2 linked regions of the Styela clava genome follow. The main gene of each other region encodes a partner of the protein of the gene in region 2 in a complex. Links are inferred from orthologs where the notes say so. Each region holds a gene or a part of one and is shown on either strand. Other genes may lie near its edges.

Evidence for each region.
Region 1: the proteins of dihydrolipoyl dehydrogenase, mitochondrial-like (region 2) and lipoamide acyltransferase component of branched-chain alpha-keto acid dehydrogenase complex, mitochondrial-like are in contact, whole or in part, in a crystal structure (PDB 3RNM), measured with the Homo sapiens proteins. The link is inferred for Styela clava from reciprocal best matches to the Homo sapiens genes DLD and DBT. Residues at the interface, in NP_000099.2 of Homo sapiens: Ser446, Thr447, Asp448, Arg449, Glu472, Tyr473, Gly474, Ser476, Glu478, Asp479, Arg482; in NP_001909.4 of Homo sapiens: Thr174, Pro175, Ala176, Lys196, Arg199, Leu201, Lys202, Glu203, Leu206.

Annotation. Positions count from the first base shown.
Region 1 is NC_135260.1:16,251,434-16,255,190, reverse strand, and holds the start of lipoamide acyltransferase component of branched-chain alpha-keto acid dehydrogenase complex, mitochondrial-like, read right to left. Parts: upstream 2,312-3,757; 5' UTR 2,209-2,311; coding exon 1,927-2,208; intron 1,474-1,926; coding exon 1,314-1,473; intron 846-1,313; coding exon 718-845; intron 52-717; coding exon 1-51. UniProt on the Homo sapiens protein: The branched-chain alpha-keto dehydrogenase complex catalyzes the overall conversion of alpha-keto acids to acyl-CoA and CO(2).
Region 2 is NC_135252.1:10,600,055-10,603,811, reverse strand, and holds dihydrolipoyl dehydrogenase, mitochondrial-like, read right to left. Parts: upstream 2,534-3,757; 5' UTR 2,530-2,533; coding exon 1,015-2,529; 3' UTR 311-1,014; downstream 1-310. Other genes in the region: uncharacterized protein LOC120343183, read right to left, coding at 85-219. UniProt on the Homo sapiens protein: Lipoamide dehydrogenase is a component of the glycine cleavage system as well as an E3 component of three alpha-ketoacid dehydrogenase complexes (pyruvate-, alpha-ketoglutarate-, and branched-chain amino acid-dehydrogenase complex).

The DNA of each region.
Region 1 (3,757 bases), on a different chromosome or scaffold from region 2:
TATCAAATTAAGAATATCCTCTTTCAATACTCTACCATCAGGTCCAGAACCCTGAAATATTAAAAATTATTCATTTACAAATAAAAATTCCTCTTATTACTGTATAATAGATGAATATAATGTAGTTTATTTCACATTAGCAGTCAGGTATATTCAGGCAAGAGCTATATTTTAAGATTATAATATCATTATGACTAAAGTATATAACCTGATACAATATACATAAGTCGAAAAACAAGATTCGAACTGCATTAGGTTGTAAAAGCAGCTTGTTGTTATTAATAATAATGCCAAAAAGATAACTTTCTTAGGGTACTGAACGTTACAATACATTTCATTGCATGATTTAACTGTTTTGTTCTTTCCTCAGATTGTGTTCCACTTAGATTGCTTAATTTGGTTGGCCTTGTACTATATTTATTACTTCATGTCAATTGATTTAAATAGGTACTGTGAAAAAGTAGTATGTTAAATAAACCAGCATACTGTAATGATTATAAATAAACACATCAAAAGCAGGATAAACTGACTGCTGGAAAATTTTTTAGTGATCTCCTCCATTTAAACTACATAATTGACAGGTTGAGAAAAAAGTGACTTCAGTCGAAAAGTCTAATAGATATAATCCTGGTTTTGAGCAATATTCGATGATACATCTGAGTTGCGAATTAACATACCATAATTAAAAAACTTTTCACCGTGAAATAAAACACGTACCTGTATTGTAGATATGTCTAAACTGTTCTTCTTTGCAAGACTTCTGACAGCAGGGGATGCAAGCGCTTTCTTTGTAATTAAATTTATATTTTCTTCATCATCTCTATCAACAATAACTTTTTCTGATACTGAAATAATCAGTGCAGAAATTTATGTAAACAACACAATATGAACTTGGATAAACCAAATAAATCACAAAATACTTCTGACTTGAAATATGCTCCAATGCCAATTTGACCCAACAATCTTATATAGAAGCAACAAAAATAAAAAAAGCCACTCGGTTATGAACATTCATCGGTAATCATAATTTGCAAACACAACAAAGCAAACCCAAATTCCAGATTAGGTGTGACACATGGAAAGGAAATGAAGATTTGTGTTTGGAGTAGCCTCACAACGATTGTGGAAATCATTATGAATATCAGAAATATAAATACTGAAAAATAATTCTTGGATATAGACAAACCTCAAAAAAAATAATTATTTGAAACAGCTTCCTAACTTGGTTTGTAAGTGAAATAAATTAATAGATCAAGCAATCTTTGTCTGGGTTATGAGAATGACTGTAAATGATTTTATGACTGTTTAAATACCTTCTTCTTCATCTTGGTTATCATCATCTGATGATCCAGAAGTCTCAATATCAACGAGGGCTTGCCCAACTAATACTATATCGTCAACTTCATGATGGAGTTTTTTGATAACGCCATCAAATCTGCTGGTAATCGTCACTGAAGCTTTATCACTCTTCACCTTAGAAACGAAATAAATAAATTGTTAAAATTGCAGCTATATAGCCTATAGAATCTTCGTTGTTTAGTGAGTAATAAACAAATTTTAGATCCATGGTTATCGACCTTTTTTTTGCACATTTCAGTTATCAATATATGTATTCTTACCTATACTTCAAAACATTCTAGATCAGATCAAAGAGCTGAACATATCAGTCTCATTTATGCCAATACCGAAAAAATGTCCGATATATCGGTAGCCTACATCTTCAATTCTTCCGGGTCTGGTATAGTACCACAAGTACTTCCAGTGGGGTGGTTCGATAATTTTTGCATATTTCACTCTTACTAGGCACACTTTATTACTGTATTATAAGCTGTAAGACGAATCAGTGTAAATTTATCAAATTAATGAAGTGTAAAAATATATGCATCAAGTAGGCATATTCAGCTGAAGTTATTATAAAAGCATCACCTCACAAATGCTGTCAAATTGAGCAACTTCATCTCCTTCTTGAACAAACCATTCTGTTAGTTCAACTTCTTTTATTCCTTCACCAATATCGGATAAATTGAATGAAACGACAGGCATCCATGAGTTTCGACTGTTATGAAAATGTCTGACGAACAGTATTTTAGATTTTATCTGACTACACTGTTGCAGTGTCCGCACATTGCAAGATTTGCGAAGGAAGTCTACCTTTTTGCATCTGGCAGTATGAAAAAATCGCCTCGCGAAGATCCTTGATTTAATCATAATACATTACCGTTCATAAATAATACCTTTTAAAATTTGTTATTCTTATGTGAGCCAAACTATGAAAAAGTGTTTAGAATCTGAAATCACAAGAAAATATATTTAAACTTTCCTCAGTTTTCATTTTCTTTTCAAAACAAACGCTTTTCCCAAATGCTTCTTTACTTCAGAACAAACTAGGCTATTTGAAATACACTGGCAGACTGGTACTGTACCGCACCAGAGCTGTTATTCTAACAACCGAAAAGACATCAGATCATTCGTAGCAATAAAAACAGGATGAACGTCAAGTCTGACCCTACAGCCCTAGTGGCTTCGCTTTTCAAGGTTAGTACGGTAATGGCATTCATTGCAGCATCTGTAGGGTGACCCAACACAGCAACAAGGATAGGATTTGCAAGGATGCCACAAGCCAAATGTGACCCAACCAATGTTTGAAAGCGATGAAGGCCATATGCATACACAGCTGGTTAATATTTTCAACAATACAAGATGATTAACAAGTGAATATAATTGATTTAGGCCTGCGGCTGATGTACACCGGTATGCGATGTATACCAAAGCCTATATATACGAGCGTGACGAGTGTACAACGTATGCCTACTTCGTTGGGCATACAATCCTGCCCGATACCGGCAGGTGCGGTACTTTTCGTACAGAGAGGCCTGATATTTTAGAGATAATATTTTAATAATGTTTATTGGTACTGCGTGATCCAAGTTTATCAATGTCGGGGGTCACAAAATTATTTTCGCATTGTTCTCGAGCCACATTAGTGCCAAGAATAGATAAACGGCACACAATGGACCTTTCCCGAGCATTCCTTGTTTCTGTATTCTAATGTCACTTCGTGACATTGGCTAATCAACAAGATGCAAAAAGTGAGATATAAATATTAATTTGAGTCAGAGCAGAAAATTCGTGCTCACAGAGCCATGGAGATGCAAATGGCTAGATTATTTTTATGGATTTTGCACAGATGATTAAATAGAATTTGTAAGCAGATAGCCAAAACTTACTTTTCTGTTAGCCTAAACTAAATTAAGCACTAGTCAATTCAGCGCGGTCACGCTGCTCGATAACCATCTCTGGTTTATCGCGTCTCCTTTCACAATGAAATGCGATTTTTTATTTTTCTTAATTTTGTTCGTCAATGTTTACATTCGGTAAAAATAAACTACTGACTGACTGAAGGTGGACGGCTTGATTACAAATACAATATGACATACAATTATAACGTGGTGGTGGTTCACGTAACCGCTGGTCGGTTACGGCTTCCTCCACCACCAAGTCCATGCTCCCGAAAACAAACAATACAGTAAAACTAATCCCATACCCGACTTGGAATGGTAACCGGACGAGAGGCCGTGGTTCGCCATATGGATAAGCCGTCTTATCGGCTTTCCTCTCCCCCGGGATAAATATGTAAATCCTATCCTATCACTCTTACAACAACGGCAAGGCAAATGCAATGGACCTTTCCCCGAGCATGGACTTCCTTGTTTACTTCGTGACATTGGCCAATCAGCAAGATGCAAAAAGTGACGTA
Region 2 (3,757 bases):
TCACAGAACTGGCACTAAAAGTAAAAAAACTAAAATTAATGAAACAAAAAAGTAGTTTTTTAAACTGAACATTTCGCAACCCACCTCATCAACATCAATGTCCACAGATTCCCAGCATCCATAATCTGTAAATGCTTGTTGATTGTGTTTACTGTAACCACGAGTGTGAGTTGGAAATACAAAACTAGGATATTCACACATTTTTTCAAAATATTTCATCTGATCCCACGACTGCTTTTCCCATTATTGTGTATGGTTGCACTTGCATTCATGGTGACTTCACAATTATTGAATTAAAACAGCTAAAACACTAAATTTATGAATAATATGCATTTTTAACATAAAGAAAAAATAACTCTCGAATCGCAATGAAAAGACTGAAGATGACAAAAAACTGGAGGAAATGGAAACTCTTTATAACAGACCATCAATATGCATTTATTTTATTACCTGGCCAGATACAGAGATATGAAATTCTTGATTTAAACTAATTCAGCATCTCGCATCTTGCCAAGAATGGGCATGAAAACCATTCCCGGAAAAAATTTAACCAATATGCAAGATTGATAACATTGTGGAATGAAAACAAAAGAAATATTTTCGCACAAGTCCAGGGCACAAAGAATTGCAAATGAGAAATTTAAACAAGTGTGCGAGAAGAACAGCAGTCTAACTCCTTTTTTTGTAATGTTCGTTCATTACTTGAGGATCATTTCATATCATCGTGGCAATACCCATTAGAGAATAATACACAGTTGCAATAATGAAATGCTGTCATAAACAAAGACCAAAGTTTTCATATTAGTCATCTTAATAATTCCATATCTGGTGAAAACAAAGTATAAATGACTCAAAGAATAAATTGAATCAATTTATTACATAGCCATATTGTTGCCTATCCCATACCCTACATTGTGTATTTATCATTAAATATTCAACCTGTTTGTAAGAGTGAACTCATTGCATTATTTAAATATTTATATAAAGCCAAAAATATTTCCAAATAGATAGACATTAAAATGAATTGATTGGTTTGCCAAAATATGCAGCCAAGTTCGCTTCTCTAAAAGCTTCCGACAGTGTTGGATGAGCATGACAAACTCTTGCAACATCTTCAGATGAAGCTCCATATTCCATCGCAAGAACGGCTTCATTGATCATTTCGCCAGCACCTCCACCAATGATATGAGCTCCCAATATTCTGTCGGTCTCTTTGTGACTGAGAATTTTTACAAATCCATCAGTGTCAGCATTTGTCTTTGCTCGGCTATTAGCTGCGAAAGGAAATTTACCAACTTTGTAAGGAATATTTGCCTCCTTTAAATCTTCTTCAGTTTTGCCAACCCATCCAACTTCTGGGTGAGTATAAATAACAGAAGGCACACAATTGTAGTCAATATGGACTGGTGCACCAGTTAAACCTTCTACACATATAATACCTTCATCCTCAGCCTTATGGGCAAGCATAGGACCTGGAATGCAATCACCGATGGCATATATACCTGGACAGCTTGTTTGGAACCTTTCATCAACAGAGATGATTCCTTGTTTGTTTGCTGTTATTCCAACATTTTCTAATCCCAGTCCCTGTGTATATGGTCTACGACCGATACAAACAAGCAGAACATCACATTCTAATGTTTCTGGTTTACCTCCGGCTGCAGCCTCAACATTAACTTTGATACAAGAGTCTGTTTTATCAGCAGATATCACTTTCGTATTGAGTTTAAAATTCATTCCTTGTTTCTTTAAAGTACGTTGAAACGTTTTCGAAACATCCATGTCGATACCCATTCCCCCAACATGTCCAAGAAATTCTATCGCAGTTACTTCAGAACCTAATCTTGACCAGACAGATCCTAGCTCAACACCGATTACTCCAGCACCAATAAGAATCAATCTTTTTGGAATCGCTTTCAAGCTTAGAGCACCGGTTGATGAAATAATCCTTTCTTCATCAACTTCAATACCGGGGAATGGTGTAACTTCAGAGCCAGTAGCAATTAATATATTTTTTGTATTGATAACTTCACTATTTCCTTCTTCATTTGTAGCTATCACCTGTGTTGGACTTTTAATCATACCATGACCACGAACATGCGTAACTTTATTGAACTTGAATAATCCAGCAACACCATCGGTGAGACCCTTTACAGCAGATGATTTTTGTCCCATCATTTTTTCCAGATTAACAGAAACATTGGAAACTTCAATCCCCCTGGATTCAAAATCTTTTCCATGTGCAAGATGGTACAAATGAGAATTATTTAGAAGAGCTTTCGATGGTATACACCCAACATTCAAACATGTCCCACCTAGGGTTGGACTCTTTTCTACGCAAACAGTTTTCATTCCTAGCTGGGCAGCTTTGATAGCAGCGACATAACCGCCTGGTCCAGATCCTATCACTGTCAAATCGGCATCATGAGTGGCCGTTGCATTTGTCCTGGCATTCAAGCAATTGAAACCAAGTGAGGAACCTTTCGAAAGTCTACGAGCTAATGCAGAATTCAGTTTTAAATTGAACATTTTGGCTTAAATATAAACAATAAATTAGATTACTAAATAAGTACAGCATAAAAATCTGCAAAAAAGGACAATTCAAATGCAGAAATAATTAAATCTGTGTCATTTATAATTAGCCATTTATATCAGAAAGAAGTTTGTGAAGTTAAAACACAGGACCTATCAAATCAAAGCAGCCGCTGGCACAAATTTGCCACCACTGAATGTAAATACTAATTCAATTTTGTACAATACAGCCTTCAAAAATATCTTCAGAGCAATAGGAAAGTTTTCCAAGTTTCACATTTTACACAATGAATTGACAAATAGGGCATAAGATACAAAAAGTGGAAAAATTTTCTGCCACAACAGGCTATTTATAAATGAAAATAAAGTGACCAATATTACAAGTTTACAAAATTTGAAAAAACAATCGACAATTGAAAAGATGTTTTTATATTTTGGAAAATCCAAATCTAAGTTATGCAGTTGAAATTTTGCATTTTCAGAAAGATCAGGATTTATAATAAATTTCTCACAAAAATTTGCCGATATCATGATTTGATGAACAATGGCAAAATTCAGCACATTCAACAAGAAAATGAATTACAGAGAACTCAAACTCGTATGAGCATATTTATGTGGAAAAAATGCCGAAGTAGCTGCATTTATAAACCAGAGAAAACAAGAAGAAAACAATCAAAAAGAAGAATGTTATAATAAAAAAAGAACAACTGGGTAAACAAACAAGTATTCGACACATAAGTATGTATTTCTGCTTTCGTTTCAGTGAACAAATAAGATCTCAAAACAATGTATCTATATCTATTCAATCTATATTGAATCACGAACCACACAACATAATTAGAAATATCTCAATTTCAGAAAAGTTTTTCAGCAGGTCAATAATATGACAGAATTTAATAAATATACACAAATTTTCTAAATACTACTTTCGCTTAAGAATAGTTGTTTAAAATGAAATTTTAAAGTTTTTGGGAAGCCAAATATAAAGCATCTCAACATAATAATAAAGTGAATGAAATAATGTACATAGGAAAATGAAGACAACACCAACATATATCATAGCTTCTCATAAAGTCAGAAATTCATTCTCAAGGGGATACCACAAATTATAACCATAAAGATTCCTGATGCAAATACATTAAACATTGCCATTTGCGGTAATTAGAAAACTCACTCATTGAATGACGTTATTAGCAATTATAGTTTTCACTAAATATAAATACAT